Linked DNA regions of Ovis aries. The protein of the gene in region 6 interacts with the protein of the main gene of each other region in a biochemical or structural test. Links are inferred from orthologs where the notes say so. Each region holds a gene or a part of one and is shown on either strand. Other genes may lie near its edges.

What was found.
Region 1: the proteins of PPARG (region 6) and NR0B2 form a complex in vitro, tested with the Homo sapiens proteins (2 studies listed by BioGRID, with this or other methods). The link is inferred for Ovis aries from reciprocal best matches to the Homo sapiens genes PPARG and NR0B2.
Region 2: the proteins of PPARG (region 6) and RELA form a complex in vitro, tested with the Homo sapiens proteins (3 studies listed by BioGRID, with this or other methods). The link is inferred for Ovis aries from reciprocal best matches to the Homo sapiens genes PPARG and RELA.
Region 3: the proteins of PPARG (region 6) and KAT5 form a complex in vitro, tested with the Homo sapiens proteins (2 studies listed by BioGRID, with this or other methods). The link is inferred for Ovis aries from reciprocal best matches to the Homo sapiens genes PPARG and KAT5.
Region 4: the proteins of PPARG (region 6) and GRIP1 form a complex in vitro, tested with the Homo sapiens proteins (2 studies listed by BioGRID). The link is inferred for Ovis aries from reciprocal best matches to the Homo sapiens genes PPARG and GRIP1.
Region 5: of the proteins of PPARG (region 6) and CDK5, one has a biochemical effect on the other in vitro, tested with the Homo sapiens proteins (3 studies listed by BioGRID, with this or other methods). The link is inferred for Ovis aries from reciprocal best matches to the Homo sapiens genes PPARG and CDK5.
Region 7: the proteins of PPARG (region 6) and NCOA6 interact in a test that uses a peptide from one of them, tested with the Homo sapiens proteins (2 studies listed by BioGRID). The link is inferred for Ovis aries from reciprocal best matches to the Homo sapiens genes PPARG and NCOA6.

Annotation. Positions count from the first base shown.
Region 1 is NC_056055.1:240,027,629-240,031,605, reverse strand, and holds NR0B2 (nuclear receptor subfamily 0 group B member 2), read right to left. Parts: upstream 2,626-3,977; 5' UTR 2,589-2,625; coding exon 2,048-2,588; intron 1,090-2,047; coding exon 848-1,089; 3' UTR 501-847; downstream 1-500. UniProt on the Homo sapiens protein: Transcriptional regulator that acts as a negative regulator of receptor-dependent signaling pathways. Specifically inhibits transactivation of the nuclear receptor with which it interacts.
Region 2 is NC_056074.1:40,279,507-40,283,775, forward strand, and holds the start of RELA (transcription factor p65), read right to left. Parts: upstream 2,801-4,269; 5' UTR 2,717-2,800; coding exon 2,710-2,716; intron 2,129-2,709; coding exon 2,102-2,128; intron 2,002-2,101; coding exon 1,850-2,001; intron 1,707-1,849; coding exon 1,558-1,706; intron 666-1,557; coding exon 574-665; intron 206-573; coding exon 74-205; intron 1-73. UniProt on the Homo sapiens protein: NF-kappa-B is a pleiotropic transcription factor present in almost all cell types and is the endpoint of a series of signal transduction events that are initiated by a vast array of stimuli related to many biological processes such as inflammation, immunity, differentiation, cell growth, tumorigenesis and apoptosis.
Region 3 is NC_056074.1:40,317,854-40,322,149, forward strand, and holds the start of KAT5 (histone acetyltransferase KAT5), read left to right. Parts: upstream 1-1,496; 5' UTR 1,497-1,512; coding exon 1,513-1,690; intron 1,691-2,017; coding exon 2,018-2,086; intron 2,087-2,172; coding exon 2,173-2,309; intron 2,310-2,596; coding exon 2,597-2,752; intron 2,753-2,841; coding exon 2,842-2,916; intron 2,917-3,016; coding exon 3,017-3,091; intron 3,092-3,424; coding exon 3,425-3,673; intron 3,674-3,754; coding exon 3,755-3,844; intron 3,845-4,296. UniProt on the Homo sapiens protein: Catalytic subunit of the NuA4 histone acetyltransferase complex, a multiprotein complex involved in transcriptional activation of select genes principally by acetylation of nucleosomal histones H2A and H4.
Region 4 is NC_056056.1:153,580,561-153,584,060, reverse strand, and holds part of GRIP1 (glutamate receptor-interacting protein 1), read right to left. Parts: intron 3,165-3,500; coding exon 3,025-3,164; intron 2,857-3,024; coding exon 2,665-2,856; intron 1-2,664. UniProt on the Homo sapiens protein: May play a role as a localized scaffold for the assembly of a multiprotein signaling complex and as mediator of the trafficking of its binding partners at specific subcellular location in neurons.
Region 5 is NC_056057.1:115,249,377-115,253,612, reverse strand, and holds the start of CDK5 (cyclin-dependent kinase 5), read left to right. Parts: upstream 1-1,436; coding exon 1,437-1,473; intron 1,474-2,127; coding exon 2,128-2,216; intron 2,217-2,305; coding exon 2,306-2,373; intron 2,374-2,488; coding exon 2,489-2,549; intron 2,550-2,647; coding exon 2,648-2,704; intron 2,705-3,703; coding exon 3,704-3,799; intron 3,800-3,937; coding exon 3,938-4,012; intron 4,013-4,159; coding exon 4,160-4,236. UniProt on the Homo sapiens protein: Proline-directed serine/threonine-protein kinase essential for neuronal cell cycle arrest and differentiation and may be involved in apoptotic cell death in neuronal diseases by triggering abortive cell cycle re-entry. Interacts with D1 and D3-type G1 cyclins.
Region 6 is NC_056072.1:56,659,704-56,663,203, forward strand, and holds part of PPARG (peroxisome proliferator-activated receptor gamma), read right to left. Parts: intron 166-3,500; coding exon 1-165. UniProt on the Homo sapiens protein: Nuclear receptor that binds peroxisome proliferators such as hypolipidemic drugs and fatty acids.
Region 7 is NC_056066.1:64,076,406-64,079,905, reverse strand, and holds part of NCOA6 (nuclear receptor coactivator 6), read left to right. Parts: intron 1-1,007; coding exon 1,008-2,124; intron 2,125-3,500. UniProt on the Homo sapiens protein: Nuclear receptor coactivator that directly binds nuclear receptors and stimulates the transcriptional activities in a hormone-dependent fashion. Coactivates expression in an agonist- and AF2-dependent manner.

The DNA.
Region 1 (3,977 bases), on a different chromosome or scaffold from region 6:
TGGCCTGCAGCACGCCAGGTCTCCTGTCCATCACCAACTCCTGGAGTTTATTCAAACTCATGTCCATTGGGTCGGTGATGCCACAGGGGAAGTGAATGATCCCACACGACAGAGATTCCCGGAAACTTTCAATTTGGAAATGGGCTGCTTCATTTTCCTTATTGGTGACTCTCAGTGAGGTGAGAGGGAGGCTGGGGCAGAAGCAGAGGGAGGGATCAGCAGGGGATTTGAGGAACAGGGAGGGATACTCCTACCCCTTGATATAAGGGCAAGGATGTGTGGGGTCCTGAACTGATACTAACTCCTGGATCAGATCCATGTAAAATAAATCTCACTGCCAGAAATGAAATCAGCATCCCACCCTGAAAAATCAAAACTCCAGTTTCCTGAGTTCTGGCTTGTGTGTCACTTGTAGCTCCTTCCTCTTGGGCTCCTCTGGCGGGCCGGGGGACTCTGGAGATGAACCAGTCCCTTCCACGTGTACAAACTACACTGTCAGGTTCCAAGGGTGTCACACCTTTTATTACAAAAGCCAATAACTTAAGTCAGTTCCGTACAAAGTCAGTAGAACTCCTGGCCCAACAGCGGACACTTCTACCCTGCCCCAGGAGGGGAGAGGAGTCTTGGCCCAGAGGCTCTGGAACCACCAAGGGCTGGCCAGACAGCTGGAGCACTGTGTCCAAACTGAGGAGGGTCAAGGTGGGATGTGGCTGAGTGAGGGCCCACCTGATTGGGCTGGAGCCAGCTGCTCTGGGGAAGCCTCTGGGAGCACTGGGTCACCCAGGGGACAGCCCGGCCAAATCAGCGCTGCCAGCCTCCACCCAGGCCCTGCTTGGGCTGGAGCAGGTCAGCTCAGCAGAAGCATGTCTTCAAGGAGGTCCGCGATGTCAACGTCTCCAATGACGGGGCGAAGGAAGAGATCTCCAAGCAGGCTGGGTGGAATGGACTTGAGGGTGGAGGCCATGAGGAGGACACGCGCCAGGCGGCTTTGGCCTGCTGGGCACCAGGGCTCCAGGACCTCCCACAGTGCCTGGTGCGCCTCCTGCTGCAGGTGCCCGATGTGGGAGGAGGCGTAGAGACCTGGCACTTCTGCGGACAGAGAAGGCAAAGATGGCTGCTGAGTGGCCTACTCCAATACCACAGGGCAAGACTGGCCCAAGACCCAAGGCCACCAGCTTGGCGCCTTTGAGTCCCCATCACTACCTCCTTCATTTATTTATTTTTCACTTCATTTATCCATCCTTCATGGAGACGCAGGATAGAGCCATGGGTAAGACCCTGGGGGGCCTGGCTTTTAATCCCACACTGTCACTTATTAGCTGTGTGCCCTTGGGGAAATTTACTCAATCTCTGTGCCTTGGGTTCCTCGTTGATAAAACTGGGACAAATAATAGTACCCATCTCCTAGGCTTGTTATGAGGTTTAAATGAGCTAGTGTATATAAAACCTTTAGAACTCGACCTAACATACAGTAAATGTAATGCGAGTGTTTGCTATTACTATAATGAATTACTCTGATCATGCATTCCTTGGGGGCATTTTGATGATTTCTCATCTAAGCGCCTTTCAGATCACAAAGAAGTCTTCCTCTATTTGTTGTCCTGGCTGAAATTTACGAAGACTCCTCCCTCTTCCCCCTCCCCACCCCCATTTTCATTTCTCTTCTCTACGTGGTCTTTCTGAAACCGCAGTTTCATCTTCAGAACTTCTCCATGCAGTCTGCTCATGAAGGCGTGACCGAGGCATAGTCTGCCCACCCTCCCCTCCCCTTCTGCCCTAAGGGTCAGGGAAATTTCTTAGCAGAGCAGTAAGGACTAGATTTTGACATCAGTAGACCTGAGTCCCCATTCTTTCTCTTCCCCCACCTGGCTATGTGACTTTTCGCAAGTCGCTTTGCCTCTCTGAGCTTGTTTTGCAAGATGGCTATTTGGAGATAATCAGGACCCAGAGGGATTTCAGTTGTTAAGTCCTTAGAATGCGTCTTTCCCTGGCTGAGCCCTGCCCCCCTCCAGCCTTGGCCCTCATCCAGGAGTGTCTGGGATCTCACCAGGGTTGAAGAGGACAGTCCCTTTCAGGTAGGCATACTCCTTGGGGCCCAGCTCCAGACTCCAGAAGGACTCCAGGCAGCACTGTAGCCACTGCACCTCAGCTAGCGAGGGCTGGGGCCGATCGGGCCGCTGGCTGCTGCCTGCCCCGCTGCTGGGCTTCTCCAGCAGGATCTTCTTGAGTATGCTAGGCATCGGGACCTCGGCCACCTGGAAGGTCACAGTGTCTTGGGCCAACCCCAGCAGGAAGAGGGGCCCCCAGCAGCCCCGCAGCAGCTGCCGCCGATCCTGGGAGGGCAGCTGGCAGAAAGACGGCAGGTTCCTGAGGAAGGCCAGCGTCTTGGCCAGAACATCCAAGGCCTCCTGGCAGGTGCGATGGGGCGTACACAGCTGAACAGGCCGGTGCTGCCTGCACAGGCAGCGGCCGCGGGCTGGGGCCACGGAGGGCCAGTCCCTGACGCTGGGGCTCAGAAGTGTATACAGAATGGTCGGGCGGCCTGCAGCACCCTGGCACGGGCAGGACCCTGGCTGGCTGGAGCTCATGGTCGAGGATCTGCTTTGCCTTCCTGCTGGCTCTCCCACCCTCGGCTTGGTGCTGTGGGTGCTATTTATATCCCCAAATGGGGGAGGGAGGGGGGAACCGCCCAACAACCTTGACTCCAAAAGTCATGTTCATTGAAAAAAAAAAAAAGAAACTCACACTGACCCTGGCAGGACCCAGGGGGAAGTGGTGGGGGAGGGAGACTTGGGAGCTCCACGTGGCCCCGATATCACTTCAGTCAATGAAGCAGCGGGTGCAGGGCACAGGGCCGCCTGCCCGCTGGCCCCGCTGCCCTTTATCAGATGATTCAAGTGGATAAACAGGGTCATTAACCCAGGCTGTACCAGGGCACCAAGGCCTCAGGTGCACAATCAGCAGGTGGCCGTGGCAGGTGTCCCCATTGGTGCCTGCAGGACTCGCGCTCAGCAGGGGAGCCAGCCCCAGAGCCGACGAGCCTTGAACGCAGGGCCCAACCTGGAAGCGCCTTATCACTTGCTTGTTTGCCTAACCTTGAGGCCCTGCTCCTGTTGTTAGTAAGGAACAGGCTGCAGGGAAGGGAGCCAGGATCCTGGGGGTGCTGGGAGGACTTTGCCTGGCTGTGCAGTCTGGAGGAAGGCCCCCTTCCTCTAACCCCAAGTTCTGGGTGGCGGAGAGGCCTGCAAAAATAAGGTCCTTAAGAACTCTCTCTCCCCAGCCTGGACCTCTTGAAGGGCCCTTGTCTGCTGAGAAGCCCTGGCAGAATGATGATGAAATACTACTGTTTATTGAGCACCTACTATGCGCCAGGCACTTTCCACTCTAATATTCAGAGCTTCCTTCTGAGGCAAAATGCTTGCTTTTTGAGACTCAAAGAAGTCAAGTGACTTGTCCAAGTTCACATCACTAAAAAGAGACAGAGCCTAGATCAGTCTGACTCCAAAATCCTTGCTTGTACCCCTGGACCCACTGGCCCAGTTGTGCAGCCAGAGCTGGTGACGACCTGGGCCCCCACCTCACTGTTGTAGACGTTGCCCACTTACGATCTGGACAGAAACGTTGCTCGGCCGCCAGCTGCATGGCTCCTCTGTCCCCAGGCAGCTGTCTCGGATGCTGGGGCCTGGGCAGTGAATGCTGGTGGCAAGGTCCTTGGCTATGTCAGGTTTGTGGACCTTGGCAAGGCCAGCTTGGCAAGCCTTCTGCTGACACACTGTTGGGCAACTGTCGCCACCCCTGACATCCTCTCCTGGCTCTCTGTCTTCCTAGTTGTGTGACTGTGGGCTGAACCCCAAATCTCTGCGGGCCTCAGAGCTTCACTCAGAATAGTGCCTGCCTGCAGGGCTATGCTGTGAGGACAAAGTGGTGTCAAATTCCAAGCAGTTTCTGGCATACTGGAGGAGGACTTTGCTCCCCCC
Region 2 (4,269 bases), on a different chromosome or scaffold from region 6:
ACCCCTCCCCACCTCTCCTTTCCTCCTCACAGGCCCACCCCCCTCCCCTTCATGCGGCTCCCTGACCACTCACGGTTGTCAAAGATGGGATGAGAGAGGACAGGCGCCAGGCGGAGGGGCCTGCCTGCCGGGTCCCGCACTGTCACCTGGAAGCAGAGCCGCACGGCATTCAGGTCGTAGTCCCCACGCTGCTCTTCTATGGGAACTGTCAGAAAAACCGATGGTCAGGAGAGCCTGGGCTGGGGGTGGGGCTGGGGCGGAGCAGGGTGTGCGGGTAGCTCTGGGCTGGGAGGGCTGTTGGAAGGTGTGTGAAATAGCAGGAGTCCTAGAAGAGGGTGGTGGGAATGTTCTAGACCCATCACTGACTCCACCTGTGACCCTGAATGTCCTGTCCCCTACACCCCTGCTCTCAGTCTGTTTCTCCAATGGTAGAATGTACTGAACAGGTGTATGTAATGAATGGGCACCGCATCTTGGCCGGTGAGGGACACGTGACGGGAAGGTGGCCTCAGAAGGGTACAGCAGCTGGAGGTGCTCCAGGCAGGCCCAAGCCTCCACCGTGGCCGCCCTCACCTTGGAAGGGGTTGTTGTTGGTCTGGATGCGCTGGCTGATGGCCTGCTCCAAGTCCCGCTTCTTTACACACTGGATCCCCAGGTTCTGAAAGCTGAGGCCCCCCGAGGCATAAGCTCCACTGTCTCCAGCAGAGCCTGGGCCCTCCTGCCTTACCCACTCTGCCCCTTATCCCCTCCCCCACTCACCAGGTAATCATTCTATTCTTAACCCCCTTAAATGCCACCCCACCCAACTGTGCCACACTGAAAGCGACTCCTTACTTTGGCTGACAAGGCCCTGTGCCCTGCCGCCTGGCCCCAGCCACAGTCCCTGCCAGCTCCCTACCCTCTGCCCCAGGGCTTTCTTTTACCCTCTCCAAAGACATGACACTCATTCGTATTTCAAAGCCTTTTGCACCTGTTCATTCTGCTGGGCATGTTCCTTCCCTGCTTCTCTACTTTCTCACATTTAGGTCTTACTTTCGAGAAGCCTTTCTGACGTCCCAGCCCAAAGGAGTGGGACCAGCTCCTTCACTCCCTGCCACCTCAGGCTATTCTTCCAACCTATTACTGCTTCATTTTCATCACTGAAATGGTGATTTCTAACAGTATCTTGTTCAGTTATTTGTACATTTATTTATGGTCTGCCTCTGTCAACCAGTACATAAGCTTCAGGGGAGACCGTTGGTTCAATGGCTTTCATTCTGACTACAAGAGATGTGACACTCCAGCCCCAGGGGTTAGGGGTTCAGGGGTGATTAGGGACCCACACCTTTGCCATAGAACTCACAGGGTGCTCCTCCTATCCACTGGAGAGAGGAGACACACAGACAATTTCAAAACAAAAGAATCAGCTTGCAAAGCTGGAGAGGGAGCAAGCAGTGAGGAATTCTGCCCTCTGTCCAGAAACGATTAACATTGTAACAGCAATATAACTTGCCTGCTTTTCCGATTCCCATCTCATCACCACCTTCTTCCACCCCCTGCCACCCCTAAGGAGCTCACCTGTGGATGCAGCGGTCCGGGCAGAGCTCAGCCTCATAGAAGCCATCCCGGCAGTCTTTCCCCACTAGCTCGTGAGGGTGAGGCCGGTGAGGAGGGTCCTTGGTGACCAGGGAGATGCGGACTGTCCCTGGCCCCGTGTAGCCATTGATCTGTCCAAAGTACAGAGAGCACCCTAGAGGGCTGGAATTCCAGACCCAACTCCCAGACACAGATTTCGGGATGGGGGGGTGGGGGCTGAAAGCAAGTCCCAGCCCTACTGACTCTGGGTCCCCCGCCCTGGGGCTCTGCTGACCTTGATAGTGGGGTGGGTCTTGGTGGTGTCTGTGCTCCTCTCGCCAGGGATGCTGCCGGCTGAGCGGCCCTCGCACTTGTAGCGGAAGCGCATGCCCCGCTGCTTGGGCTGCTCAATGATCTCCACATAGGGGCCAGAGGCCTGCACAGGCTCTGCAGGGGACACGCGGGCCAGGCCCATCAGCCACTGACCCCATCGCCCCTGACCCTGGGGAGCTCCTCCCGACCCACTGAGAAAGGATGGGCCACTTACCTTCGGAGAAGATGATGGGGAAGAAGTCTGAAAGGAGAGGGAGACAAGGGTCAGCAGGAGCCCACATCCTGTCCTCATCAGGGAAGGCCTGCTTCCCGGAGGTGAGGAGAGGGAGCCAGGCTCCTTCTCGGGGACACTCAGTCAGACCTGCTACCTGGAACCTTCAGGGAAACTTGGGGTGTGCGTAAGGAAGCCAGAAGCACCGTTTTCCTGAGGGAAACCAGAGATGGCCGCCTCCCTCCACCAGGGGAAACTGAGTCACGGCCTTTTCTGTTTTAAGTTACACTAAGGGAGGGCACTCCCCCATCCCGAGAGGAAACTGAGTCAGATACATTCTCCCCTAACAAGGAAACTAAGGTGGAACTGCCCAAGCCCCACTCCCGGGTCCCGGGGGGATACTGAGTTAACGCTTCCCCCAACACCCCACACCCAGGGGGAAACTGAGTCAGAACCCTCGATGCCCGCCCCGCCCCGCGCCACCATCCGGCCGGCCGCTCCCTGCGCAGCGCCCAACAGCGAACGAAGGGTCGGAAGGCGGTGAGGGGCCTCCCGCCGCGATCCCCGCGGCCCCAGCGCCGCCACCCCGCGGGGTCAGGGGGCGCCCTCACCGTCCATGGCCGGGGTCCCGGGGGCGGGGCCGGGGTCGCAGCTGGGCCCGCGGCGCGCGCTACTGTCGAGCCATTCGCCAGAGGCGGAAATGCGCCGCGCGCGCCCGCCGTCGCGTCACTGCCGGGAATCCGACCGCGCCTGCGCGATGCGTCTCCGTCGCCCTCGTCGCTGCTGCGGGTGCCGCCGCCACCGGGAGAGGTTCAGGGGCGAACGCGCGCTGCGCGGAGGATGGGCAGGCCGCGTGCAGGGTGGATAGGCTGCTTGTGCCGGCGACCCGGAGCTAGTGCGCGCCGCGCGGGGCACCGACAGGCGGCTCTCCCGGAGGCCGCTCCCGGGGCTGGCGGGGCAGCTCGGCTCGCTCCCGAGTCTGGGCCCCGCCTGGAGGGCGGGGCCTCCGATTACTCACTATGTTTTTAGGGGATTTCGGGGGCCACCTCCCGCCTATCGGAGGAGTTTGGTGATGTCACCCCGAGCCGGTCTGGAGCCAAGCTAGGGCTGCCGGGCTTCGACCGCCCGCCCCGCGCAGGAAAGGCTCCGGCCTGCTTCGCCCGCCAAGGCCAGGTGGCTCAACTCTTCACGGTTTCCTAGTCAATAAGAGTGCTTCTTGATGGTTATTGCCGCACAAGCACTTTTTAATTTCCTGTCCACCCCAGTCTGGATGCAACGAGGAAAAAGAGAAGTGGCCTGGACCTCTCCACCTGGCACTACTCGGACCGTGGCCTTCGCGGAGCCTGCTGCACGTCAGCGTGATCAGAGGCTCCGCTCCGCTTCCGCTCGCGCAGTACCCGCAGGCTCGTCGGTTTAAGATCTTCCACACTGCCGACCCTCGGGGCCAGTGGGTGGAGAGGGGTAGTCACCCGGGGGTAAATCTCTGGAGCTTGTCTCTGCAACCTGACACCTCTGTTCCGTTTGAACTCCCTTACCCGCCCCTCCTCCCCACGCCTGCCTCCCATGGCTTCCTGCTGGGGTCCAAGTTTCCCAAAGAATTTCCACTAATAAACCGTCCTGTGACTCCTCGCCGAGGGTATCGTCCCCCAAGGTTTAACCCCGTACAAGCAAGTACGAACGGGTTGGGGGTCGGGCTGGAGCACACACCGCCCCTGAGAGGATTTTTCATCCCACAGTGAGGATGCTCCACGGCTGGCGGCAGTCTTCCCCAGATGCAGGAAGGGTTTTTATTTTCTCTAAGTTCGTTCTAAATTAGGGAATCGTGTGGGAATTGGAAAAGATTGGAAATTCTGACTTGCTTTCCCAGGCTCAAAAAAAACAGGAAGAGAAAAGTGAAAACAGTTACCACCCCTCCCACTCATTTCGGTTTCTCCTGTGGCTGCCCCGGATTAGAAACGGCACCTTACTTTTTCTGAGGAGGCAGTCTTCAGGAAGACAGAGTGGATTAATTATAATCTTTGATTAACGACACACAATCATCATTGATGCTAGCATGGTCCTTCTTTTAAAATTTAGATATGTATACCTTTCAGATTAATACGAGTTCCAGTGCACCCACTGCAAAACTCAAGAGGCTGGATGGAAAAGCCATCAGAACTTATATCTACCCA
Region 3 (4,296 bases), on a different chromosome or scaffold from region 6:
AGGCTCCTCTGTCCATGGATTTCTCCAGGCAAGAATGCTGGAGTGGGTTGCCATTTCCTCCTGCAAGGGATCTTCCCCACCCAGGGACTGAGCCTGTGTCTTCTGCATTGCAGCCAGATTCTTTCCACTTAGCTACCAGGGACACCCTGTTTGATAGCACAATAGAAGGTAAAGCATGGGTTGGCAAACATTTTTTGTAAATGGCCAGACAGTAAATGTTTTAGGCTTTGTGGGCATTCAGCTTTAACGTGGAAGATGTCATAGACAAAATGTCAGTGAATGAGATGGTGGCTATGTTTCAATAAAACATAATTTATGGACCCTGAAATTTGAATTTCAGAATTTCCATGTATCATGAAATATTCTATTTATGTCTCCCCAAGCTTTAAAAAGAGTGTGAAGACCATTCTTTGCCCACTGAGCAGGAAAGCTAGAATAGGGTTGGATTTGCCCTGCAGGCTAGTTTGCCTACCTGGTCATTCCCTGCACCTTGTGTATTTCGTTGTTGCTGTTTCCCAAAACACTTATCACTCTTTAATAGACTAGATAATTTATTTTTAAAATATATTTACTGTTTGTGATCCACACCCCTCTTTTCCCTCTCAGCCTCCAAGAATTCAAGCTCCAGGAGCTGCAAGTTATTTTATTCATTGATGTATCCCAGGCTCCTAGATAAAATGCCTGGGACACGGTAACAGATTATTAAACAGTTGTTGAATGTATTAATCAATTCTAAAAGAAATCATCTCTGACTATTCATGGGAAGGACTGACGGTGAACATGAAAACCCCGATACTTTGGCCACCTGATGCGAAGAAAAGACACTGATGCTGGGAAAGTCTGAGGGCAAGAAAAGGGGAGGGCAGAGGATGAAATGGTTGGAGAGCATCACTGACTCAATGGACATGAGTTTACGCAAACTCCGGGAGATAGGGAAAGACAGAGGAGCCTGGCAGTTCACGGGAGTCACAAACAGTCGACACGACTTAGACGTCTGAACAATAACAACTCGTATAATTAGCAACCTAACATACAAAACAAACCTATAAACCTTCTTCCGTGGACCCCCAACCCTAGGAAAGTCCACAACTTGCGGGGGTCCTGGTGCCCACTTTTCGAAATCCGCCCCTCAACCCCCCAGCCGAGCACACGCAGCTCACTCCCCGTGACGCAGCCTTGACGCCACTAGGAGACGGCCAAGCGGCCGCCCGCTAGGCACAAACACCAATCCCACGTGACCGGCGTCGCACCCGGTGAGCGTCACGTGACTGACTCAGTTTTCCTCCAATCGTTGCACACGTTGTGGGGATTCCATCCAGGACCTGACCTGAGCCTTAAAACACCCTATGCCCCTGCCAGCCAAACTGGCCGGCTCCGTCAGCAAGCTGGGCGGCGGTGTCTCTTAAGAACCTACTAGTAAAGCCGCTTCGGGGAAGACGGGGCCTACAACGTGCTCAGTCCCGGAAGTGACGGCTCCCAGAGGGGCCGGAAGTGGCAGTGGAGGGAGGGAAGATGGCGGAGGTGGTGAGTCCGGTGCCCGGGGCGGGGCGGAGGGAGCCAGGGGAGGTGGGTAGAGCCCGAGGCCCCCCAGTAGCCGACCCTGGCGCCGCGCTGTCTCCCCAGGGGGAGATAATCGAGGGCTGCCGCCTGCCTGTGCTGCGGCGGAACCAGGACAACGAAGATGAGTGGCGTGAGTGACGTCGGGGGGCGGGGCTAAGGAACCTGAGGGCGAGGGGCGGGGGGAGAGTCAACCGAACCCCGGGGAGGGGGTGGGGCCTCTAGAATCCTGGAGCGGGCGGGGCGCAGATACTCAGGAGGGGCGTGGCTTTTAGCCTTTAGAGCTGGTCAGGGCAGGGCTTGAAGAGGGGATGGCACTTGGTGACTAACCGGGGCTTTTGAGAGCGGTTCCAAGTGCTGGGGCTTTAGGGTTCGGGCCTGGTGGTGGAGTTCAGATCGTAGGAGGGTGGAGCTTCATGGCCTGGCCAGTCTAAGGCCCTTGCCTTTGCTGTTCCCACAGCACTCGCTGAGATTCTGAGCGTGAAGGACATCAGTGGCCGGAAGCTTTTCTACGTCCATTACATTGATTGTGAGTTCTGGGCCGGGATGAGGTGGGGCTGGAGGGTTGGGGGGCAGCCTCTGGCACTCCTTCCTGAGCCATACCCACTGCTGCAGTCAACAAACGCCTGGATGAATGGGTGACCCACGAGCGGCTGGACCTGAAGAAGATCCAGTTCCCCAAGAAAGAGGCCAAGACCCCCACTAAGAACGGACTTCCTGGGTCCCGACCCGGCTCTCCAGAGAGAGAGGTGGTGAGTAGGTCCCCTGCTTCACCTCTTCTCTCCTGCCTACTTTTAAAATCTCTTGGCCTCAGTGGCTCCCAGATGGGCGACAGGCTGTGCCCTCCCACCCTGGCTTCAGCTTGTAAAGGATGGGGCCCAGACTGCAGATGTAGCTTCCAGAGTCCAGTGACTGTACCTGTGTCCTTGAGAGGGCAGAGGGTGGGGTTTGATCACTCCATGCCGAGGGGACCCTACTCCCCTTCCCCATCCCACCACCATCCCAGCCCCAGAGGAAGACCCTGGACCTATCTCTACAGCCGGCCTCCGCCCAGGCCAGCGGGAAGACTTTGCCAATCCCGGTTCAGATCACACTCCGCTTCAACCTGCCCAAGGAGCGGGAGGCCATTCCCGGTGGCGAGCCCGACCAGCCGCTCTCCTCCAGCTCCTGCCTGCAGCCCAACCACCGCTCAACGGTACCCTCAGCAATTCCAGGGACCTTGCTTTCCTCTCAGGTCCCACCTTCTCTACCTTCTGACCCACCTGTCCTGGTTTCTCTCTGCAGAAACGGAAGGTGGAGGTGGTTTCACCAGCAACTCCAGTGCCCAGCGAGACAGCCCCGGCCTCAGTTTTCCCCCAGGTGAGTCCCCCAAGCCATCTCTTCTGCCCTCCTACCCTCTGATAGCCCCTTTGGGCTCACCTCACAGCCACTCTTTCTGTCCCTCCACTATCATTTGCAGAATGGATCAGCCCGGAGGGCAGTGGCAGCTCAGCCCGGGCGGAAGCGGAAATCAAATTGTTTGGGCACTGATGAGGTAGGTCTGGGGAGGAGGGAAGGGTGAAACGAAGGGGACATAAGGAGGGCACGGGGTTTAGTGACTACTTTAAAAATGAACAAGGGGTACTGGGCAGAAAGGGTGTTGGAATTAGGGGTGAGGCGGAACTGATTCAGATCCTGCACTAGGTGATCTTTATCACCTTCCAGGTGAAAATCATCCAAGTCTTGGTTTCTTCAGTTGGCAAGTGGGGATTGCAGTACCTCCCCTAGGAGGGTTGCTGTTAGGAAACCTGTGGAAGGGCTGTGAGCTGTGGAGTGTGCTGCTTGCGTTGTCTTCTGTAACCTGGTATCTTTCACGGGCCCTGGGAAGGACTCCCAGGACAGCTCAGATGGAATCCCGTCCGCTCCTCGCATGACTGGGAGCCTGGTATCTGACCGGAGCCACGACGACATCGTCACCCGGATGAAGAACATCGAGTGCATCGAGCTGGGCCGGCACCGCCTCAAGCCCTGGTACTTCTCCCCGTACCCTCAGGAGCTCACCGCGCTGCCCGTCCTCTACCTCTGCGAGTTCTGCCTCAAGTATGGCCGAAGCCTCAAGTGTCTGCAGCGTCACTTGGTATGGGGAGTCCCAGGGGCCACCCTCCTAGCAGCACCCCCTCACCTCCGCCCCTGTGCCTGATCCTCCTCTCTTCCTCAGACCAAGTGTGACCTGCGACATCCTCCTGGCAATGAGATCTACCGCAAGGGCACCATCTCCTTCTTTGAGATCGACGGACGTAAGAACAAGGTCAGGGGCTGAAGGGCAGCGGGAAGGCTTTGGTGCCGGGAGTCTGGGGGAGTTGAGTGAGTAGCTTCTTCCAGCTCCGGAAGACACTGACAGTTACAGGGGACAGATCTCTTCACCGCATTTACTGCATTCTTGCTGTAGGCCGGGTGCTGGTAGATAAAAGTGACCAGGAATTTGACAAAATCTCTGTTCTCTGAGAGCTCACAGGGGAAGACAAACAGGCCAGTAGCAGTTTGGATCCCAGTGTGATATGTTTCATGAGAAAAGTGGGCTGTCAGGATCCCAGGGTGATCAGCAAGGCTTCAAAGAGGAGGTAACCTCTGAACCTTGACACAAGGGTAGGGTGGGTACAGGAATCCCCAGCAGCGGGTTCTGAAGGGCAGGAGTGGACGTACTGGCAGAGCCCAGAGATCCTGCAGGTTCAGTTCTAGACCACTGTGACAAGGTGAGCG
Region 4 (3,500 bases), on a different chromosome or scaffold from region 6:
ATGGGCTCTACAGTCTCCAGGGATGAAGCTGACAGGCTTGAGTTACTTGAGTGGCTCTGGACTGCCAGACCGTAGTATGACTTTCCTTTCTGAGCACTACACTTGTACAGAGTTAAACTTGAACATCGTCAGAAGAGAGGCTCCCAGGATGATAAAGATGTTCAAAAGTAAGTCACGTGAGGAACAGTGAAAGGAACCGGGGCTATTTTGCTCCGAGAAGGAGAAGTTCAAAAGAGGCACGAGGGCTGTCTTTGAGCAGCTGAGGGGCTGTCAAGTGGAGAAGGCTTTAGTTCAGAATGACCTTGAGGGCAGAACTGGAACTAATAGGCCGAAGCTACATGCTGACACATTTCAGCTCAATACAAGTGAGAACGCAAGCCGTCAGCTCTTGGTACAGGGAGCTGGGAGAGCTGCCTTAGCAGTTAGGGAGCAAGCTGTCACTGCAGGCCCTGCAGGCCATGCCGTGTGACGGCGGGCAGCCAGGCTGCATAGACCATCAAGGGCTGCCCCGGGTGTCAGACCAGCTGACTTCAAATTCGCTCCCAACATCGAAATCCTGTGGTTTCAGCTTCCATGTTCCTTACGAGAATCACTTGAAATGAGTGACGTAAAAGTGCTTTATAAACTCTAAAGCATTATTATTAATTTTTCTTCATCTTGTAAGATGTCAGTTCTAATTGCCATTTTCTCTATATCTCTGTTCTCTCGCTTCAAACCTGTAATGATTTTTAACTTATAAATGCCAAATTTCTTATTGTGATGACTACTATTCCCCATCTAGGATTTCAAATTTTCAAAATCTCTCCTAAATAATAAATGGTTCTTCATCTTTTATAAATGAGGGACAAGCCTTACATTCCACATGCTAAACCTGGGCCTGATCTTATTGTGTGTAAGGATAGAGTAGCTAAGTTCTCACACATCACTTAGGGGCAGAGCTCCTTATAATCAATAGCTCACTGAAATCTGTGCAACAAAAAGTTTCCACATTAGTAAATAAACAATAAACAAACACATTAATAAATAAACTTCAGTCTACACTGACAGAATTTGAGTTGGGTCCTTTATCCAGAGTGCTCTCTGGGATCTCATGAACTCACCGGGAGTAATAATCTGTTATTTGATGGCATAGCTAACTTTTCACAAGGTATTTGGACTTGGAAAAGTTACTTGCCAGATAAATGAAAGCCCCAATCCTCTTTTGGGTCTTATTTTTTCCACCCAACTCCAATGTCATCTCTAACAAGTAATGACTTGAAAACTTTGAAATATCATTTCTTTTCTGTCTTCTCCACCCTTCAAAGGATTTAACAGAAAGTGACATAAGCAGAAGTGGGCTGAGAGGAAAAAACTAGAATCAGGAAGACAGCAAACTGGATACAGATTCTCCTCAAAAGTAGTTACCTAATGTACAAAGCAACTCCCTCATCCACACATGTGTTCTCCAAACCATTTATCTATTTGAGCAGAAAAGGAGGCTGGAATTTATACAGAGCATTAGAGAGACGGTAAGGTCGCAAAGAGTCGGACAGACCTGAATGATTAGCGCAACACACACACAAAGCTTAGATGAGAATACAGAGAGTTTTTGATTCACTTCTCTTTGGATGCTAAGTATCATTGAGAAGGAAACATATTTTTAAAAGAAGCCTTTATGGACTTCCCTGGTGGTCCAGAGGCTAAGGCTCTGCACTCCCAACGGAAGTAGCAAGGGTTCAACCCTTGGTGAGATAACTAGATCCCACATGTCGCAACTACAGATCCCGTGTGCCATAACTAAGACCCGGCACAGCCAAATAAATACATAAATATTAAAAAAATAAATTAGGTAAGTGTTTATATTCTGTCTTCTAACGCTTTTTGGTACTCAGAATCTGTTCTGAGGTTTAAATTTTCATACAGGTTACACTTCATCACATGAAGATGAGGTTTGTGAAGAAAAACTACTATATATGTTTGCATACTATGATTAGGGCTTCCCTCGTGGCTCAGCTGGCAAAGAATCTGCCTGCAATGCAGGAGACCTGGGTTCATTCCCTGCGTTGGGAAGATTCCCCTTGAGAAGGGAATGGCTACCCACTCCAGTATTCTGGCCTGGAGAATCCCATGGACTGTATAGTCCATGGGGTTGCAAAGAGTTGAACACGACTGAGCAACTTTCACTTTTCATACTAGGATTAACAGTATAGAAAACTCTAAGGATGAGTACTGGAGGAAACCCCTACAAGTTGCTATGAAAAGTCAGGAAGAGGCAGGAATAAATGGGGTCACAAATCTTTGGCTCATCTCCTTGCATGCCTCCAGCATTCTCTATTCCATCTTTGTGCAGAGGTTGCTGAAAAAGTAAGAAAATGCAGCTGGTCTTCACTGACCCAACATATCGTGTGGTTTGCCTCATATTAATCTATGCTTGAAGAACAAGCCCTGGATCGAACACTTGGACAGCAGTAGATCTAACGGGGGTCTCCTAGCGTTGAATAGATGATCATAACTGTTTAGCATTAAAGAGGAGGAAATTCAAGGCCACGATATTCAATGTGTTTGCTATGTTTGCATTCATGTAGACACAAGTAGAATATTCTTTTCTTAGAGCAAAAGGTGGATCTTTGAGAAACATGAGCTTCACCAATGATAAATCTCCGGTTCCCCATGGCTAGGACATACCTTGATTCCCATAGCTGCTTTCTATTCCAGAGCCATCCCATGAATCCACGGCACTGTCCACGCTGGGCACAGTGGAGGGGTATGTGTCACTGAGTTTGCTTGGCTTCTGTGCTGGAGATGGGTCCTCCACATCTCCCAGGTCACTCAAGTGGCTGGCAACAGGGAATTTCTTGGGACTTGATGCTGATTGGGCTTTAAGGAAAAGAGCTTAAGTATCAGAGTAAATATAAATACAAAGATATGCCAACACCCCCTGGCTGAAGAGTCATTTCCCCAGAAATACACACGTAGATATTTGCACATTCTTTTAGGGAAGGAAATGCACTGGAAATCCTTAATTGTGGCTCTTGATCCACTCACCATCTGTCTGCTTCTTAATTTTCAAGGTGACAGTCTCTCCCGCCATCTGTAACAAATGGATGGCTTCACTCAGAGGCTTCCCCTTTAAGCTGCTGCTGTTGATGGCTAGGATCCGGTCTCCTATGTGGATCGCACCAGTTCTGAAACACCAAATAACAATAGGAAAGGCAGAAATAATCCCTGAATGCTACTGAATGCAAATTCCCTGACATGCTTCATATATCCACAACAGTAAAGACTTGGCAAGGGTCTCTCGATGCCACTCCTTGCTGTCTCCTGGGCAATGTTATAAGATGACTGCTTCTGTTGTGAATTACTTTTCAGTTTCAAATACAGTTAAAAAAAATGTTTTAATTAGTTTTTAAAAAAGACTTGTGTGTTTTTAAATTCCAAGAAAGTAGAGTTAGCTGATAACACTCTGCAAAATCCCAAGGAAACAAACAATATTGGTCAGTCAACATAGTGATGTTTAACAT
Region 5 (4,236 bases), on a different chromosome or scaffold from region 6:
CCCTATCTTTGCCAGGAGGACGGGGGTGGGGTCGAAGAGCGGTGATGGCGGCGCGGGGTGGATACCCATTACTCTGTGCCGAGTTTAAGTCTTTCCAAACCGGGGGACTTCTGCCTCGGAGAGATTCCCTGCCGTGCCCTCCCTTCTCGAACCCTATTCATAGTCATCACCTGTCATTTAAAGATCTATTTCTTGTTTTCTCAAATGATAAAGTCTTCCAGATAAGCGAATCTGTTTCGCTTCTGAGAGTCTGCCACCGAGGGAAGGACAGCATTGTGTACGCAGAAAACGTTCAGACATAAACGAGTTAATTAACAAACTGTTTAAGCCCCAACGTCGGTTCCGGCGGCGCCGAGGAGTGCTGTTTGAGGGCAGTTTTCATCCAGTTCACAGCCCTCAAGAATGCAATCATGAGACAATTAGAGAGAAGCCACAAGATAAATCTATAATCAACTCCTTAAGGGATGAGGTCAAGGCCGCTTCAAGTGTAGCTTCTGTCTGTCCTGTCTGTTGAGGGCGGTAACCAACCTGCCAGCTCTCGGGCCACACCCTTGGCCAACTCCAGTGGGCCGGGGCTATGTAAGGTGGGGTGGGAGAGGGTGGGTACACTTCCCCAGTGCGCCAGCTTGTCTCGGAATATCAGGGTGGAGCGAACTGCTGGAGTCGGGTGGGTTCCGAGACCACAAAAGGGGAGAGAGAGGTCTCTGGCGTATGGTGAATCCAACCTCCAGTGGGGCACACCTGTCTCTCTTTCCAGCCTTGCGGGCAGCTGGCCCCTGTGAAGTCATCATCGGCAAGATATGGCTCAGAGCCATCCCCCAGGCAATCCTGAGCTCACCGGACGGCCCAGGGAGAGGTTCGAACCGGTTATGGGAGTGTCAGGAGGTCTTGGAAGCTCAACACCATCAACCCAGGCAGAGCCAGGGCCACCTGGGCTCGGGAGGCAGGCTGCCAAAGCCCAGACTCTGGAAAGCGCCCCTCCACCACACCCCACCACCGCCCCCACCCCTGCTGCATTCTGGAACATGTAGTCCCGGAGAGACTCTTTTCCGAAAGAAGCGAGTAATCACTGAAAGGGATACCCGAGCGGGGCATCCTGGGAGCCGCGCGCGACTGTGGGGAGCCGGGAAAGCGGACACGCAGAGCTTCCTGGAACTTGAAGTCCAAGGGTGGCCTCCGCGGTGGAACCGGAGTCCCCGGGAGGCAGGAGCTGCAGCGAGCCCGAGCGCAGCCTGCTGGGGATTGTAGTCTTCTTGTTGCCTACGGCCCCTGGCGCTACTTGGACACCTGGCGTCCTAGGACTACAAGCCCCAGAAGCCCATGCGCAGGCGGGAGGGCGGGGCAGGGCCCGGAGGCTGGGGTACCGCCTCCTCTGCAACGCCGGGCCCGGAGTCTCAGAACCCAGGGCCCGCAAGGGTCCTCGCGCGGCTGCCGGGATGCAGAAATACGAGAAACTGGAGAAGATTGGGGAAGGTAATGGGACCGCGAGATGCTCCTGCAAAATCTTCTTCTGCAGACCCTTCAGCATTCCTTGCAGCCCTGGCTCCTCTACCGTCAGCAATACCCACAGATTCCGACCTCAGCACTGGCTGCAGCCCTGGCCCCCGAGCTCAACACTCCGTGCAGACAGCAGTCCTCCCCCTGCTAGCGTTTCTCATGGACGCCTGCCTCCCCACCTTAGCACTCCCAGTGACCCACCTCCCGACCTCCACACGTCCTGCATTTCCTCTCCATCCTCAGCACCTCTTGCACAACCTCACCCACCCCCAGCCTCAGTTCTCTCTGCAGACCTCCAACCTCTGCGTTCCTGCCGGCCCTTATTCCTCTCCCAGACCCCTGCTCCTTAGTTTCAGACCCCAGAAGCTCGGCCTTTGTGATAGACCTCCTCACCTGGCCCCTGCAGCCTCTGCCTGTTGGAGACACCCTTGAGCCATCTGCAGGCACCTCTTTGCCACATCACCACACACAGAGCTCTCTGCCGTGCCCAACCTTTACCCCACATCTCTTCCCTTGCTCCTCCAGTATCAGCAATAACACACTCCCATGCTGCTTGCTGTCCCGGCAGGGGCTTCCTGAGTTGGGAAAGTGTGCCCCATCCTTTCCCTACGCCTCCCCTCCTTCTTCTAGGCACCTACGGAACAGTGTTCAAGGCCAAAAACCGGGAGACTCATGAGATTGTGGCTCTGAAACGGGTGAGGCTGGATGACGATGACGAGGTAAGACTTGGGCGCCAGGGCCAGGGAGGGGCTGGGGGCCTGGGCCGGGTGGGATATGACTGTGGCCACCTGGCCCCTCCAACGTGTAGGGCGTGCCGAGTTCTGCCCTTCGGGAGATCTGCCTACTCAAGGAGCTGAAGCACAAGAACATCGTCAGGTGTGTGGGTGGGCTGGGTCAGAGGAGGTGGGGGCTTCAGAGATGTGCTGGGCTGATATTGGGCTCTTAGGTGCGGGCTGTGGCCCTGCCTGCCCAAGCCCTCGCTTCTCCCCAGGCTCCATGACGTCCTGCACAGCGACAAGAAGCTGACTTTGGTTTTTGAGTTCTGCGACCAGGTGAAAGGGGGGCTGGAGGGCCAGTAGTCTTGGGAGGATACAGGGACCCCAGCTGAGGTTCATCTCTGTCCCATCCCCCACCCCCATTCCTTTTTCAGGACCTTAAGAAGTATTTCGACAGCTGCAATGGTGACCTAGATCCTGAAATTGTGAAGGTAAGGAAACCGGTTTCCTGGGAGCTCGTTGAGGCTGGAGTTGGACTCTGTATTCAGTGAACATGTTCCCAGGCCCCACATGGAGACACTCAGGGAACGAGGGGAGGAGAAAACCCTGTTTCTGCTTCTAGGAGCCTCCGTCTTAGTGATCATTTTCATGCGACCGCTTTAACCTGAAAGGAAGTCTGATGTCAGTGATAGGATTTGAGAGGTGGGAAAATGAGGTTCCAAGAGAGATTCATTAATCCCACAGATTCTTATTGAATGCTGTGTGCCAGGCACTGTTCTAGGCCCGAGTGCCCTTCCAAGTTTCCAAGGAAAATAAGTGCTTGATGACTGTTGTTCAGCTGCTCAGTCCTGTCTGACTCTCTGCAACCCCATCAACTGCAGCACACCAGGCTTCCCCGTCCTTCACTATCTCCTGGAGTTTACTCAAACTCATTCCATTGAGTCAGTGATGCCATCCAACCCTCTCATCCTCTGTCATCCCCTTCTCCTCCTGCCCTCCATCTTTCCCAGCATCAGGGTCTTTTCCAATGAGTTGGCTCTTTGCATCAGGTGGCCAGAGTATTGGAACTTCAGCCTCAGTCCTTCCAGTGACTATTCAGGGTTGATTTCCTTTAGGATGGACTGGTTTGATCTCCTTGCTGTCCAAGGGACTCTTAAGAATGATAAACAATAACACAGCACAGTATACACATGGATGGTTATGATGTCCATGTTCAGTTGAGGCCAGGTAGGGGACAGACAGCAGTGTGGGATGGGAAGGCAGGAAGCCCCACCAAGCTGCCAGTTCCAGAAAGATGGGGACCAGGGCTCCCCCATTCGGCGTTCATTTCGAGTACCCAGCAGAGTACAAAGAAGGTCCTCAGTAGTGAAGGGGTGAGTTGCCCTGAGCTTGGTGCTGAAAGATGGCTGGGGTTTCAGGGCCCGTGATTCCCTGCAGGGTGCACGTCCCATCCAGAGGGTCTGATGACCTCCTCCCTGCCCCGCCCCCAGTCATTCCTCTTCCAGCTGCTGAAAGGCCTGGGCTTCTGTCACAGCCGAAATGTGCTGCACAGGGACCTGAAGCCTCAGAACCTGCTCATCAACAGGGTACCTCTGGGGAGGGGGCAGGGCGTCTGGGAGGCCGGGGCAGGGTGAGGGAAGCCAGGCAGGAAGGTGGGAGCAGGGGGCCTTCCCTCAGACTGTGAAGAGCCCCTCTCCATGCCTGTCTCCCCCCTCGATCCCCAGAACGGGGAGCTGAAACTGGCTGATTTTGGTTTGGCTCGCGCCTTTGGGATCCCCGTTCGCTGTTACTCAGCTGAGGTGAGCTGTGGGGGTGAGGGTGGGATGTGGGAAGCGAGGGAGGGGGTCCCCAACGAGCATCGCTCAGCTCCTCCTCCAGGACTCCTGTCTGGGCACTCTCCTCCATCTCTAACTGGGGGTTCCTGTGGGCGGGGTCTTCTTCTCCAGGTGGTCACGCTGTGGTACCGCCCACCCGATGTCCTCTTTGGGGCCAAGCTGTACTCCACGTCCATCGACATGTGGTC
Region 6 (3,500 bases):
GGCGTACTCGGTGATCTCCTGCACGGCTTCCACGGAGCGAAACTGACACCCCTGGAAGATGCGGATGGCCACCTCTTTGCTGGGCTCCTGCAGGGGGCTGATGTGCTTGAACTTGATTTTATCTTCTCCCATCATTAAGGAGTTCATGTCATAGATAACAAACGGCTGCAAAGAAAAATGGGAGAAAGTGGCTGAGTTGGAAATTTCTCATTCACGGTCAATACCATCCCAGCTTCTTCACAGACACTTGCTTTGCTAACGAAAATCTTTCAAGTTGAAAACACTGAACAATGAGAAAATACTCATGTCTTGATTAATCCTCCAAGCTGTCTTCTGGAACCAAACATATTTCACCAACACTGGTGATATGATACCACAACCGGTGACTCGCTAGTAGCTCCAATTCCTGTTGTTTGGAAGGTCTTTGTTGTTGATTTAAACAATGATGCAAAAATCTACTGTTTCATTCTAGCTTTCAATGGGATACATTTTTAACCTTCTTTCAATAAAAACAATTATTTTAGCAACTTAGGGTTGAATAGACCCACTTGGACATAAAGTAATCTTGCAGTTTTAGATTAAATCCTCTCAGAGCTTAAATGAAACATAATGTATATGTAAACTATACTTAACTACAGAAAAATCAGTCTGAAAGCAGACTGAAAACACTGAGTCAAGAAAATGTCTGTTTCTCTCTTTCCTCTTTTTTTTTTTTAATGCTCTGGAAGCAATCTGTTTCAGAAAGAGCAGCTGCATAAGGCCTATGGGCAAACACTACAAAAGTGGCAAATTAAAAAAAGGTTGGAACTTATTTTTCAAAGTATATGTCCTTAAGGGTCAAGAATCAATAAAACTCGTTTATCAGTTATTCAGGTTTGCAATAGGCTACTAGCAAAAGCCTGCTGGGTTTGTCCACGAAATAATCTTTCTCTTTCATTTCCTTGTATAGATTTAACCAGAGGTTTGTGGTCCTTGTGAAATTCTCAAGGCTACTCTGAATAAGTGACCACAATTATATATACACACACACACGTATATACCTACTGAACTCTGTAAGGAGCTACCCCTCAATGCTAGTCATGTGTTTTACTCAGAAGCAAGGAATAAGAGTTGAGGGTATCTGGCTTCCAGCTTTGGTCCTGTGGTTAACTCTGTGACTTTAGAAAAGTCATTTATCTTTCCTAGCCCTCGAATTTCTCATTTGAAGTGGATTGCAAAGATTTCCAACTCTTCTCTTAAGGATATGCTAGTTGCATTTCTTGGAAATAGTGTCTGTGATATGTGTGTGTGTGTGTGTGTGTGTGTGTGTGTGTGTATCTGTGTGAGTGTGCACATACACACACATGTCCACTGAATATGAAGTCTCTGATGTACTAAAAATAAAGCTTCTTTTGAAAAGCTTTATTGAGAGATAATGAGAATTCTCTCCTCTTTGGCAAGAGGAAGCAGACACAATGAGAGCCAGCAGTAGCCAGCTTCAAGACCCACTGGTTCAGACAGTCTAAACTATTAATCTCTACAGTAGTCTAAGATTGTTATCAAACTTTTTTGGGGAGGGGCATGCCACATGTCTTGCAGGATTTTAGTTCCCTGACCAGGGACTGAACCTGGGCCCAAGCAATGAAAGTACTAACCATTGGCCCACCAGGGAATTCCCTTCACCAAACTATTAAGTCTGTTCTGCACTGAAGGAAATAACACGAATTCTAAGGGGTTTTAGATGTTGAGTGGATTCCCAAACTTGCCTCTTATTTCAACAACATTCACTGGAGTTATTCCAGAAATTGTTACTTTTTTTAAACCAAAAAAAAAAAATCACTCCAATTGTATTGTTTAGCAAATACAAAACCACAAAGTAGGACAGATGAGAGGAACCCAAGAGTAAGCTCGCCTGGTGACTCTTCAGGCTTCAAGTAAGCCAAGAACGAATAGTTCATACTGCTTTGAGGCATTTTGCTTTTCTCTCTACTTCAGACCTATATTATTAATGGGAGGGAAAAAAAAAAAAAAAAAAGGACAGAGTAGATGGACAGTCTCTTCAGTTAACATGTGTTGAGTTTTTCCAGAATGCCAGATTCTGATGCTGACAAACACTAGCTTTAACAGAACCTAGAAGAAGGTGGTTTCTGATCTCAAAGAGTTTTGTGGCCCATTTTAATTTATGCTACCAAGAGGCTGGCTTTCTTTACTGCTATGAGAAATCTGAGGGCACCTGAAGAGTCCACCTGCACCTGTACAAACACAAATAACAAGGATATAAAGTCATCCCCTCTTCACGTGTGGAAGGACAGTACCTCATCTGCCCAGCTTCTGGATGACCTCAGTCCCTCAGCTTCTTGGCACAGAATGGATGCATAACATTCTCCCACCTCCATGTAAGCAATTTCTCTGGAACTCTGCCCTGATAAATCATCCTGTGACTCTTCCCCCTCGACTTCCCCTGTCCCCTCATATAAAGCCCCAGGTTCCTGTTTTTGAAACTCTGTGATAGTTGCACCGAACGCACAAAATCCTGCAAATTTTCTCTCCCAATTTAACAACAATGTGACTTGGTAACCCCTTGGCAATCGACGTTGGTCAGGATTTCCTGGCAGTAAACACTCAAGGACAGAGAAAGGAATCAGCAGCCCCCACCATCATGCCAAACCATTCCAGTTTTTTTCTTTTTTTTAAAAAAAGATCCCTTCAGCATTTTCAAAATGTTGAGTTGGCAGAGGATTCTGGGTATGGACATGCAAATGAATCCCAGGTGGGTTTCTTTGTTTTTCCTCGTCATAGCTGATGTTGCTGTTTTTTTTTGTTGTTGTTTTTTATTTTTTTTGCACTTTTGAAATCTGCATAAGATCCTTTCAGCTCCCGTGTGGATCTATCAAGCTGCAGGAGTGATCCAGATGTGATCTGCCTGGAGATCTGCCTTTCTTTGCCACCCATTCACCAATTACTAGACTGCAAACAGTTAACGCACACATTTTAAAAAAAATTAATGAATTAATTTATTTGGCTGCACTGGGTCTTAGTTGTGGCATGCAGGATCTCGTTCCCTGACCAGGGATTGAACCCAGGCCCCCTGCGCGGGGACTGCACAGTCTTAGCCACTGGACCAGCAGGGAAGTCCCAACCCACACACTTTACATTGGGATTCCTCATACAGAAACAGCAGAAGAGAGTGGCCCGCCAGGTTTACAGATGGCTGAACTCTGAAAACCACGAGGGGAATTCGGCCTGTGGAGTTTATCTTGAATCAGTGACTTAATATTATATTTCTGGTAAAACGTCCCACACAAAACGTCCTTCACTTGCACGGTCCTCTCTTTTCCACTAGCCTCCCCGGTATCATCGCGTGATCTGCCATTGTCAGAGGAACCATATCCTCTTTAGATTTGGTGTTAATGGTTTTACACTTCTAATTTGGGGCTAACAATGTATTTATCTTCAGACACTGTATCAAATGGCTAGATAAGCATCTCTCCTTAACAGGAAAGAATGCTTAACTACATCTA
Region 7 (3,500 bases), on a different chromosome or scaffold from region 6:
GAACAAAGGACAGTTTGTCTCTCACCTCCTGGCTGGAACATGGACTGGCTTGATGATTTCATTGTGGCTATCACTTTTTAGTCCTCATTTCAAAATGAAAAGGGTGGGGAGGAGATAAAATAAGCTAGAAGTTTATTCTGCAGAAAGGAAGAGAGAATATAAGCAGCTATAGGAAAACCCCAAAGACCTAACAGTAAGTATACACTGTGGCAAACCAGGAAGTGCTCTTTGTCTGAACTGGAAACAATTAAGACTAAAACATGTCCCATGTGGTCTCCTAGGGATTGCTGCAGGAGAGGGTCACTGAAGCTTTATCATCCTTTATTGTCTGTCCTCTGTCTGCAGCTTCTTAATTGTCTGTCAGTTGACTTCCACCAGAGGCTCAGCTTCCAGATCAAGATTAAATAATTTTTACCACATTGGGGTGGAGGAGACCTATCTTTAGGAAGTATTAGCTGTTCTTTTCTTTAAAGTGCAGTATCCAGATAACACATCCATAACCTTGGAGAGTCTGAATATAGTTTCCCAAGGAGCATTGTTAAACATCTTCTCAACTTTGCTGAGGTTTTCTTAAGAGGCTGCAGCACATTTTTTGTTTCCTGTCTCATCTAAAGTAGAGCTTATTTCATTATCCCATAACACTTTTCATTAATTTTCTTCATTTTAAGGTAGTTACAAGTTATTTTTAAATAATGAGATGCTACCTTTCTCTTTGTTTAGTCTAAGAGAAAGAAAACTATATTGATCTTCAAAATGTTATCAAGTTACCAAATAGGAATAAAGAAATGGTTTCTTTTTCTCTATTGTATGGTCACTGAGAATGTATGCCACAGTCACAGCCTTATACTATAGAAAACTCACAGAAATATGTTAAGCATAACACATCTGTTTATGCTAATCACTGGATATGGGTGAGGGGTGTTTTTCTAATTAAGGTAATTTGAGAATCTTAATACCAAGAAGATAATAGTATTTCTTTCTGAAACTGTGCCTTTTTTTTTTTTCAGGTGGTCAAGGAGCTGGTCCTCCTCAAAACCAGATGCAGGTGTCCCACGGGCCACCAAATATGATGCAGCCCAGCCTCATGGGAATTCATGGCAACATGAACAACCAACAGGCTGGTAGTTCTGGGGTTCCTCAAGTGAACCTGGGCAACATGCAAGGCCAGCCCCAGCAGGGCCCACCATCTCAACTGATGAGCATGCACCAGCAGATCGTGCCCTCCCAGGGCCAGATGGTCCAGCAACAAGGAACCTTGAACCCTCAGAACCCCATGATCCTTTCAAGGGCCCAGCTTATGCCACAGGGTCAGATGATGGTGAATCCTCAGAGCCAAAATCTTGGGCCCTCACCCCAAAGGATGACCCCACCCAAGCAGATGCTTCCCCAGCAGGGCCCCCAAATGATGGCACCACATAACCAGATGATGGGGCCTCAGGGGCAAGTTTTGCTCCAACAGAATCCAATGATAGAGCAGATCATGACCAATCAGATGCAGGGGAATAAGCAACAGTTTAACACTCAGAACCAGTCTAATGTCATGCCGGGACCAGCACAGATAATGAGGGGACCAACGCCAAACTTGCAAGGAAACATGGTGCAGTTTACAGGACCTATGTCAGGACAGATGCTGCCACAGCAAGGGCCCGTGAACAGCAGTCCGTCTCAGGTTATGGGGATGCAGGGGCAGGTCTTGCGGCCACCAGGGCCCAGCCCCCACATGGCCCAGCAGCATGGTGATCCTGCTACGACAGCAAATAATGATGTCAGCTTGTCTCAGATGATGCCAGATGTTAGCATGCAGCAAAGCAACATGGTCCCCCCCCACGTGCAGGCCATGCAGGGGAACAGTGCCTCGGGAAACCACTTCTCAGGCCATGGGATGCCCTTCAATGCACCTTTCAATGGAGCACCCAATGGAAATCAGATGTCCTGTGGTCAGAATCCAGGCTTCCCGGTCAATAAGGATGTCACGCTGACGAGCCCATTGTTGGTCAACTTGTTGCAGAGTGATATCTCTGCGGGCCATTTCGGGGTAAACAATAAGCAAAACAATAGCAACGCAAATAAACCGAAGAAGAAGAAGCCCCCTCGGAAGAAGAAGAATAGTCAGCAGGATCTAAAGTAGGTTGTGATAGTCTTGTCTGAAATCTTACTCATTTATTTCTATGTGAACACCTTTTTTGATGGAAATTTTTGAGCATGTATAAGAACAGTATAATGAAATTCCCCATGCTTCAGATTTTCAGCTCATCATCTATCTTGCATTCATTCATGTTCTTCCCATTACCTCTTGATTATTTTAAAGCAAGTTCACTTTAAGTATTTCACTGTGTACCTTGAAAAAATAAGGACAGGTTTTTGGTTTTTGTTTTCTGTTTTTTGTGACCATACAATACGATTAGCACACCTGGAAAAAACTAATGCTTCCTTCATATTCTCACATATTCAGACAGCGTCCAGATTTCCCTGATTATCTCAAAATAATTTTTTTTTTTTACAATTTGTTCAAATAAGGGGCCAAACAAGGTTCATATATTGCAGTCAAATGATATATGTCTCCTAAGTCTGTACAGTCTCAGAGGGGATTGTGCCATTCAGAGCCTGAGAATTAGCCATTGCTACCACACTACAACTCTACAAAGCATGTCAGGCTTATAATGACTGCTGGGGAACCAGAGAGGCTATATGTGTTTTAGGAATGAAAACTACTTACGGAGACTCCCTTCTGTCTCTCAAATAGAAATGTTTTTTTTTTGTGCAAGTGCCTTTCTTTTAAAGGCTCTTTATCATCCTTAGCAGCTTAAAACCTCATACTAAGATGACTAGACCTTTTCAATCAGTTACCCTTTTGGTAAAGATGAGTCTTTTGCAAGATCACAGTGGGAAGGGCAATTAATTTATATTTCGTTTCCTAAAGCTAAGTGTTAAGTCATATTTTTGGCTTTGATAAAAAAGGAATATTGACTAAACTGGATTTTCTGCCTTTAATCACAAAAGTGAAATCCAGAGACATTTATTACCAGAAAATAATGACTAAGAAGTATAAAAGCGGGTTAATTCAAGTAAATTACTAGAATTACAGAAGAGAATAGGGGAGCTTTAGTTAATTAAACATAAATGTTTAAAATAAAACCATCTATTGGATTGGCCAAAAAGTTTGTTTGTGTTTTTCCATAACACCTGGAAAAAAACTGGATGAACTTTTTGGCCAACCCACTACCTTTCTCTCAGTCTTCTTACAGTATGCCTTTGGTGGTACTATAAAACTATATCATATTCACTTTCTTCTTGAATCTTATAAATCAAAAAATAATTTATATTAGCAACCTGTATTTTTCGTGAATTCAAAATTAGTAAACTCTTTGGTTATCTGATTTTTCCAGTAGCTCTTTCTAAGTTAAATTCTTTACTACTATCAATCTGTATGGGAATAATATTTCTTTGGCAATATTTATTCCTCTCAGTAATCTAGGATTAACACTGCAAGGTTCTTCAGT